Linked DNA regions of Coturnix japonica. The protein of the gene in region 1 interacts with the protein of each later gene in a pairwise test. Links are inferred from orthologs where the notes say so. Each region holds a gene or a part of one and is shown on either strand. Other genes may lie near its edges.

The links.
Region 2: the proteins of NUDT12 (region 1) and BLMH interact in binary tests that used the Homo sapiens proteins (3 or more experiments, as listed by UniProt). The two-hybrid records come from large-scale screens. The link is inferred for Coturnix japonica from reciprocal best matches to the Homo sapiens genes NUDT12 and BLMH.

What each region holds. Positions count from the first base shown.
Region 1 is NC_029547.1:44,272,106-44,276,600, reverse strand, and holds the start of NUDT12 (peroxisomal NADH pyrophosphatase NUDT12), read right to left. Parts: upstream 3,008-4,495; 5' UTR 2,910-3,007; exon of another isoform or gene 2,818-2,909; intron 2,802-2,817; exon of another isoform or gene 2,710-2,801; intron 2,694-2,709; exon of another isoform or gene 2,386-2,693; 5' UTR 2,356-2,385; coding exon 2,150-2,355; intron 222-2,149; coding exon 1-221. UniProt on the Homo sapiens protein: mRNA decapping enzyme that specifically removes the nicotinamide adenine dinucleotide (NAD) cap from a subset of mRNAs by hydrolyzing the diphosphate linkage to produce nicotinamide mononucleotide (NMN) and 5' monophosphate mRNA.
Region 2 is NC_029534.1:5,007,236-5,011,758, reverse strand, and holds the start of BLMH (bleomycin hydrolase), read left to right. Parts: upstream 1-1,668; 5' UTR 1,669-1,792; coding exon 1,793-1,805; intron 1,806-2,127; coding exon 2,128-2,325; intron 2,326-2,852; coding exon 2,853-2,962; intron 2,963-3,608; coding exon 3,609-3,750; intron 3,751-4,523. Other genes in the region: TMIGD1 (transmembrane and immunoglobulin domain-containing protein 1), read left to right, coding at 138-241, 476-504, 679-682. UniProt on the Homo sapiens protein: The normal physiological role of BLM hydrolase is unknown, but it catalyzes the inactivation of the antitumor drug BLM (a glycopeptide) by hydrolyzing the carboxamide bond of its B-aminoalaninamide moiety thus protecting normal and malignant cells from BLM toxicity.

The DNA.
Region 1 (4,495 bases):
GTTTTTTGCTTAGCCACTTGGAATCTACTCTTTTATCACTTCTTCGGTCCAGAAGTGTCATGCCAAAATAATTTGAATATTCTTTCACTTCAGTTGGCAGAAAACCAGGCTTCTGGTCTCCTTTTGCAGCAGACAACAAATTAGCAATGTGCTTGTACCCCCAGAATTTAGCAATGTCCAGTGCTGTCTGCCTTGATTTATTAATGATGGACCTGTCACACCTACAGAAACAGAAAAGAACAACAGTTAACAGAGTGAATTTTTCAGGAAAAGTTCCAATACTGTACTGTTGTTACAACAGATAGATCTGATACTACTGAGCTGCATCAACTTTTCAGAACACGGAATCAAGGGCATTCTTCGGGCTACATACTAATGGTATTAGAAAATGATCAGAGTTGCATTCCTTTTTTTTTTTTTTTTTTTTTTAAATAGAACGTAGAACTTCTATTGAACTGGCAACTTCTTCAGGGGAGACCTCACTGCACAACTTCCTGAAGGGAGGTTGTGATGAGGAGGGTTTGGCCTCTTCTCCCAGGTGACAAACAGGACCCGAGGAAATGGCAACAATTTGTACCAGAGGAGGTTTAGATTAGTTGTAAGGATGTAAGGAAAAACCTTTTCTCTCAGAGCATGGTCAGACACTGAAATGGCTGCCCTGGGAGGTGGTGGGAGTTGCCATCCCTGGGAGTGTTCAAGAGGTGACTGGATGACGAGTTACAACATATGGTTTAGTAGCTTGTGGTAGCAAAGGTAATGGGAGGACGGTTGGACTAGATGATCTGGTAGGTCCTTTCCAACCTTGTGACTGTATGACCTTCTGATTCTCCTATTCTATGATTCTCCAAAATCTCAGAGGACTCCTCAAAAACAGAGGATTTCAATCTACAATATGTGGCACAGCAAAGCTGCTCTATGTGCTAGAATTCACTAATTATGGTACATAAGAAGACTCCCTTGAGACTCCACAGTGAGCTCCAGCAGAAGAAGGTACAGTACCCTAGTAGGTCTTAAAAATAACGATGTGAAAATCCAGGAGGAAGTAGAATAGCATGCTTGATAATTACTTATAACCACAAAATAATCTAGTCTAGTTTGGCAGTGTAACAAGGGATACAGAAAGGAACCGAGTGGTCTTCACAAAATCACTGAGACATTTATGTTGGAAGGGACCTTAAAGATCATAAGATTCCAAGCCTTCCTGCCTTGGGCAGAGATAACTCCCATTATATCTGTCTGCTCAGGGCCCCATACAGCTTGTTCTTAAATGCTTGCAAGGACTGTGCCACTCAGATTGCCATCATCCATGATGTGAACCTGCTGATGGTGCGCTCAATCTACTGTATGTGTCACTGACAAAGTCATTAAATAACACTGACGTCAATACTAACATGAGGGACACCACTTGTAAAGCTCAACTGAGCTCTTGCTCTCATTTTGTAATGGTATTCATTTGAAATGTGTCAATCTTGGCTTTATTCAGCCTTTAGAAGAATCCTGAGGTTTCAAGACCTTTGAAGCATTCGTTTTACTTGGTGACTTCCAACACCAGAACTACAGGAGTTGACTTGAGAATAGACAATATAATTTAAAATACATTCCTGACAAGCAAAAAAAAAATGCCAAAAAGTTTAATAAAGAAGAACCATCTGAAAAATAATAAAAATGAATGGATGAAATTCAGCAATAACTGACTTTGGTAAAGGCACGTCTATCACATCCAAAATAATGGCCAATGTGCCTGCAAATGTTCTGCAGTAACACAGGTTCAAGTGTATTACAATTAAACCTGAGACAAAAAGCCTAAGTGGAACAATTAAATGTATCAAATTCATACTCAGAACAGTATTTGTAATGGGGTTGTTGTATCATTGTATTTTATTGTACTGTATTGGTTTCTGGGGTGAGTGACCCTGTCTTTGAAGATCAAAGCAGTAACTTTAGAAATCCTCATACTGTAATAACTGCTGTTAGAAAGTATGGAAACCATGATGCAGTAGCACAGTCCATTTATAAACTAACACAAATTTATGAGTTTTAACCCTGAAAATTCTTCTGCTTTCTAGCAAGTAAATGTACTTATCTGATGCCATACTTAAACGGGAAGAATGGGACTTAGCTCTTCAACAGGACCTACTCAACAGCTTACCCTCCTTCAAGAAGTATCCGTACAACATCAAAGTGTCCATTTCTTGCAGCGTACATCAGAGCTGTCCAGCCATTACCTGAAGTCGCATTGATCAGTGATGGGGAACGGCTGAGCAATGCTTTCAGCCTGGCTGTGTCTCCAACCGCAGCAAAATTATGCAGCTGAGAAATCATTTCCTGATGGAAGTTCTTTTCAAAGCTGGTCATTGTCTCAACTGAGTTAGAAAACAAGAACACCTAAAAATATACTCACTGTTAGGAAAATATTTTCAGTAAACCAAGTAAACTTTTAACACGACACAGATAACCCTTTGGAAAAACACAAAACCTGACACACAAACCCCAAGAGCTCTGGGAACAATGGAAGACACACATAACAGGGGTCTCTCTCCAGAAGACCAGACCACTGCTCTCTCTAGGCCGACCTTCCCTAAGCAGACACCTGCGGCGCAGCGTCGGCCATTTAACTCCACCAATGTCCCCACAGCTGCTTGGAGGCCTCACAGGGCAGCAGGACACTGTCAGTCCGCCCGCCCCCGGCACAGACCCAGCTCCACTCACGCGCAGCCCGCACTTAGGGCATGCAGCAGCGTCACTAGGGCGCTTTGGCTGTGCATGCAAGGTAGCAGCCGTTTTAACCCTAGGCTCGTCCCGGCGTAGGCTACGGACCAGCCTCAGGCGGGGGAGGATCGTACGTGACCCGCTGTTTATCTCCCGGGCCCGCACCCGCTGTAGGGCCGAGCTGCCGGTCGCCCCATTACCGTCAGCCTGGTTCCGTTCGCACTTCCGCGGCGGAAGGGGCGCGTCCCAAAGCCGGCCCGCCTCCCCCCCCGCTCCGCTGCCCCGGGGTCGGGAGGGCGCCCAGCGGTCAGGCCGCTTAGCAGTGGGTGCTGGCTGTAGCAGCAATCCCTGGCAGTTCTGCCTGGTTACTCTTTGTCGGACAAATTATTTAGCTATAAAAATTGCTTTCTTTTGCAAGGTAATAAACCGGATTAATGATAGAATACAAGATAGAGTACTAATTGCAAGAGATGTAGAACAAACGAGATACAGCAGGAGATAGCAATTGAAAGGGGAGCTGGAGTGCTGGCAGTTCCCCTTTGCCCTGCTCTCGTGAAGCCCCACGTGGAGTGCTGTGTATTTGGGCCCGCAGCGAGGAGTGCAGCCGTGGGAGTGGGTCCAGAGACAGCCCTAGAGTTGGTCAGAGGGCTGCACTTCTCCTTGGTTAATGGCTTCTTCAGCCTGGAGGAAAGGAAGCTCCAGGGAGCCCCAACTGTGGCTTTCCGGTACTCCTTTTCATAAGCAGCCGCTTATGAATAGGAGGAGAACTGACTTTACAGTTGTATAGTGATAGGGTGTAGTGGTTGGCGACCCTGCATATAGCAGGGGGCTTGAAACGAGATGATCATTGCAATCATTTTCAACCCAAGCCATTCTGCTCTTCTATAATTCTATGGTGGTGAAGTCCTGACACAGGCACATCTCCGCTCCTGGAGATGTTCAAAACCAAGTTGGGTAGGATCATGGGCAGCTTTATTAGCAAGGTGGCAGCACTGCCCACAGCATGGGGTTGGAATTGGAACTGGATGGTCATTAAGGTTCCTTCCAACCTAAGCTATTCTGTGATAAAAGCTGGAAGATAGTTTCACAAGTGTGTGCTGTTAATGTGTGAAAAGCTTAGGGAAATTGTGACTGCCAGTCTTAGGAAAATGCATGTATTTAACAAGCACTGCTTCCTAGAAGCATCAAAACATGAAAATTACCACTGACTAAGAGCGAAGAGTGCATGCAGCCTATGATTAGTGAGAAAAGGGGCAGTCAGAACTGCTGAACATGAGCTGACTGTAGGCATTTTGATGCCTAACATCTGCAAAAGGAAACATCTGGTGATGCAGGGACTTATGGTAAATACTTAAATACATGAACAGAAACTATGAAGTAAATTGGGTTTGGGAGCTCAAGAAGAATGCACTTGTTCTTTTTAGTCAGTTTTAAACCACGTGATTGAAACAAAAATAACTGTACGCTGCAAACCATCCATCAGGGGCTGGGCCAGACTCACCAGCTGTTACACAAGCTGTTTTGCTGCTGACACACTGGTAACACTGATGGGACTACTGCAGTTTGTCTACCTGTGGTTACCAAGCTTTGTACTTGGCTTAAAAAATGTGGATAAATGTTAGTCCAACACCAGGTATTTTGAAGTCCTGATGCCACACATAAGCTTTCAGAGAATAAAGAAAAAAAAAAAAACAAAACCAACTTAAAATTTGGTTGTTTGAAGATATTTTGTTTTCTTTTTACATGCCTTTCCAGTTATCAAGTCTGGTAGATTCATATTGTCAGG
Region 2 (4,523 bases), on another chromosome or scaffold:
ACTCACCCCACCACAGCACCCTGGGGGGATCTGCTTCAGGAACCAGCATTTCAATTCCTCCTTCCACTCTCCAGCTCTGTGAAATGCCTTTACTATGTGACTGCACCAAACTATCAGCCTCCTCTCCCTCTTCACAGATAGAAAACCCGTTTTCCCCAAGGAGGCGATTATTGCTGCCGTTGTGGTGGTTGCCATCACTGTGCTTTTCGGAATCGTGGCTCAGAAAGACAAAATATTTAAGGTATGGAAAAACCCAGTTTCTTAGGTGAAACATAATGTTTCAATGGCCTTTTGTTTTCCACCTTTTCTATGCTGCTCTGTAGTGCTGTTTTTCAGTGTCTTTCATTGAGTACTATCATCTCCTGGTGAATTACTAGCAGTTAAATCGAATAGCAGGTATTTGAAGGGGAAAGAATAATACTTCTATGGGTAGAAAAATGCAAAAGGTAACAGGACTCTCTCTCTTTCTTTCCAGTGCTTCAAAAAACCAAGTGAAACAGCCCTGTAAGTATCTGAGTGCACAACCAGCTTCACAGTAAATGCCTGAATGAAACCCCTTCTTTAAGCTCTGAATGAAGCACCCACACACTGACATCCCCAGCAGCCCCAATGAACCCAATACTGCTGTTGACTTTCATTTTCCCTATAGATTGGTTATTTTTACCCCTTTTGCTGCAGGTAAAGACGGCACAGGAAACTTTGCACACCCAGCCAACACCATCTGAAGCGGTGGCAACACCTGTGTGAGATGAGGAGCTCAGGCACTGAAGCACAACCCCGGCCACAAGCTTCACAAGGCTCATAGAACACACAAGCATCGTTTCACAACTGATTGGAACTCACTGCTCAATACTCAGCTATAGGGCATAAGGATGACAGCTCACCTCATCCACAGCGCCTCAATGGTGTCGTGTGGGGAGCAGCACTGTGGTGAAGGGGGGAAGGGTTCCTCTTAAGATCGCACCTTGCCAATAAACGCACCTTGCTGTACGTTAATGAGGCCTACAGTGTGAGCAGTCTCTACTCGGCTCTTGTGAGGCCCCATCTGTTGTACCGTGTCCAGGTGTGGAGCCCTCAGTACAAGAAAGACATGGAGATTTGGGAAAGGGTCCAGAGGAGGGACAGGAAGATGATCAGGGGCTGGAGCACCTCCACTATGAGGACAGGCTGAGGGAGTTGGGTTTGTTCAGCCTGGAGAAGAGAAGGTTGCGGGGTGACCTCATTGCAGCCTTTCAATACCTGAAGGGAACCTGTAACCAGGAGGGGAGTAAACTCTTTGAAAGGACCACTAATAGCAGGACAAGGGAAAATGGTTTTAAGTTAAAAGAGGGAAGATTTAGGTTGGATGTCAGGGGGAAGTTCTTCACTAGGAGAGTGGTTAGGCCCTGGAACAGGCTGCACAGGGAGGTTGTGGATGCCCCGTCCTTGGAGGTGTTCAAGGCCAGGTTGGACGGGGCCATGGGCAGCTTGATCTAGTAAAGGTGTATGTTTGGTGGCCCTGCCAGGCAGGGGGTTGGAACTCCATGATCCTTGAGGTCCCTTCCAACCCGGGTCATTCTGTGATTCTGCGGAGCCTCACGTTCCCCGCGGGGTTGATCTCGCGCGATACGACGCGTTTTGTCCCTTCCCGCCCACCGTCACCCTCCCACCACCACTGCCGCCGCCGCCGCCGCCACCCTCAGAGCAGAGCGGTTCGGGCCCCACTTCCTGCTTCCGGTGCCGGGCTATAAGAGCCGCTTCCGGCGGGGCGAGCGGGGTTCGGCTGGTTTGTGGCGCTGCGCTTTACGGCACCATGAACGCCCATGGTGAGGGGCGGGTGTAACCGGGGGGGAGGGGGGCCTTATCTATGGTGGGGGGCCTTGCCTATGGGCGGGGGGGTCCTTGTCTGGGGGGGGCATTGCCTATGGGGGGGGCCTTTTCTGGGGGGGGGGGTTGTCTATAGGGGGGCGGCCTTGCCTATGGGGGGGGTGGGGCCTTGTCTATGGGGGGTGGGCTTACCCCTGGTGTTGGGCTTGAGGGTTGTTCTCCGTTATAAAAACCCGTGTGTGTTTATGGGCCCGGAGCCCCCCGCATCCCGGTATGGGATCCCCGGGTGCTTATGCTGCTTTATGTTCTTCCCCCCCGCAGGGCTCAGCACTGAAAAGGCCGCGGCCTTTACCCGGCGGCTGCGGGCTGAGCCGCAGTTCCTGCTGGCCCAGAACGTGGCGACCTGCAATGACCCGCTGGAGGTGTGTCTGCAGCGGCAGGTGGTGCAGGACACCATCCAGGTCTTCCAACATGCGGTGCCTGCTGAGGGCAAACCCGTCACCAACCAGAAGAACTCCGGTAAATGGGGGATTTGGGGGCGCCCTTTGGTGCTTTGGGGTGGGCAGTTACCTCCCTGCAGGTGTGGGAATCTCTACTGGAGCCCTTTTGGGGGTCTCATATCAAGAGGAGCTTTGTTCAGGGTCGTACCTTCCAGGTGAGCTGACTGCAGTACTCAGAATGGCTTCTGAGTTCAGAGAACAGCTGCATAAGGTTCCATATGAGATCTGACAAGGAATCCCTGCAGCATCCTTCAGGGGTGACGTCTGCCTTCTGAACTGCTTTTCCTTCTGTATAGAGCGAGATGGAAATAACTGAGAGACCTGTTTGCATGGTTCGTAGAAGCATAGAATCGTTACGGTTGGAAAAGACCACTAAAATCATTAAGTCCATCCCGGACTCCTGAACTCACTGGTTATTCAGTAACCTACAGTGCTGGGCAGGACACTGGTCCAAAAACTTAAGATGGAACACAGAATTCTTGTTCAAAGCCCTTATGTAGCTCTGAGTGCAATAATGCAGTTTAATCCTTGTGTCTTTGACCTCAGGGAGATGCTGGATCTTTTCCTGCCTCAATGCAATGCGTCTTCCCTTCATGAAGAAGTACAACATTGAAGAGTTTGAGTTCAGCCAGTCGTATCTCTTTTTCTGGGACAAGGTACAGTACTACAGGCCGCAGACTGTGCTAGGAATGCTTACACAACTGAGTCTTACCATTAGGACGGATTTCCTTTTAAATTGGGCTTTCTGAACAATCCAAATGGGAAATGTGCATGAGAAGGACCACCAGAAATTTTTAAATAGTTAAAATTGGGCAAAATGAGATTTTCAGCTTGAGGAGGAAGTCATCAAGATGTTAATGCTTTGGAGTGGTAAAAGTCTTTCAAGTGTTCTGAATATTTCAGAAGTTATTTGTGGTAGGCCCAGCAGGAAGCCTAACTGTAATTGCAGCTCTATGAAGCTCTTTCAGGACTGCTTGCAACCTACTGATTTGGGAGCTGTTTGCTTTTTTCCTGAAGGGAAATTGAGAAAACCTAGCACTTGTTTGTGCCAGGCTCCATTATATAACTTCTGTTTCACATTTCCTGTTTCCCCCGCCCTCGAGCTCTGTTAACTCACTTGTAAATACATTGTCTGGACCAGAAATAAACTTTTGGTTAAGCCTTGGAATAGTAAAAGGAAAATAAACATGTTAGTGGCTGAGCAGATGATTTCATCTAGTTAGGACTATCAAAGAACTGGAGTACATGGGAATGAGTTGATGTGTATATCGCACTGAGATTTGTCTTGTCTGTTCATTATAGGTCGAACGTTGTTACTACTTTCTAAATGCCTTTGTGGAAACAGCTCAGAAAAAGGAGCCCATAGATGGAAGGCTGGTGCAATACCTGCTCTTAAACCCCACAAACGATGGAGGCCAGTGGGATATGCTGGTTAATATTGTAGGTAAGGGAAATGGCTGCTGGGAGCGCTTCCCTCATTTCCACGCTGATTTGAGAGATGAGTGAAAGAAAGCAACTTTGGATCAATTCTGCAGTGTCTGATGCCATACTTGATATTACAGCATAGGATCTCCTAGGTCGTATAGGCACTATATGAAAACTTAAAATAGAGGCTTGCCTACACTTTTCACTGTAACCCATCCAAAACAGGAAGAACTTGTAGTACACCTTGATAATTGATGGATTGAAGATTTCTTATTCTGACAATCTACTGTAGTTACAAATTGAGTATGAGACCTGGAAGCTTGTTAAAAAGCACAACACTTAGCGACTGCCTTTTTCAATCAAGGATCTTATTTTTTTCTAAGTATTAGGCTTAAATCTCTTCTATGATGTTTATTTTTGCATATTGCTGCTGCTGATAGAAGCTCAAAATCAGCAGGAATCATTAGATACCCCAGAATGTCAATTCAATAGTAAGTTCCTGTCCTCTACTGTCCCAGCTCGAAGCTGTTGCCTTTGTATCCATGTATGCAGTCCTGATGTACAAGGTAAAGAAGAGTCTTTGTTAGACCAGGGTGTGTCTTCAAGGCAGAAGCAAAGCTGCTCTGAGTTGCAGCCTGAAGAAAGGCGATGTAAAGATTGGTGAGAGGGAAATTGTATGGAATGTGGCAGTGCTGGTCTGACAAAGGTGCAATTTAGGGAGCATCATCCTTAGCACTAATGAAGTAGATGTGGTGTCTGAATTAGACTAGCATTTGCTTTCATTTGTATGAT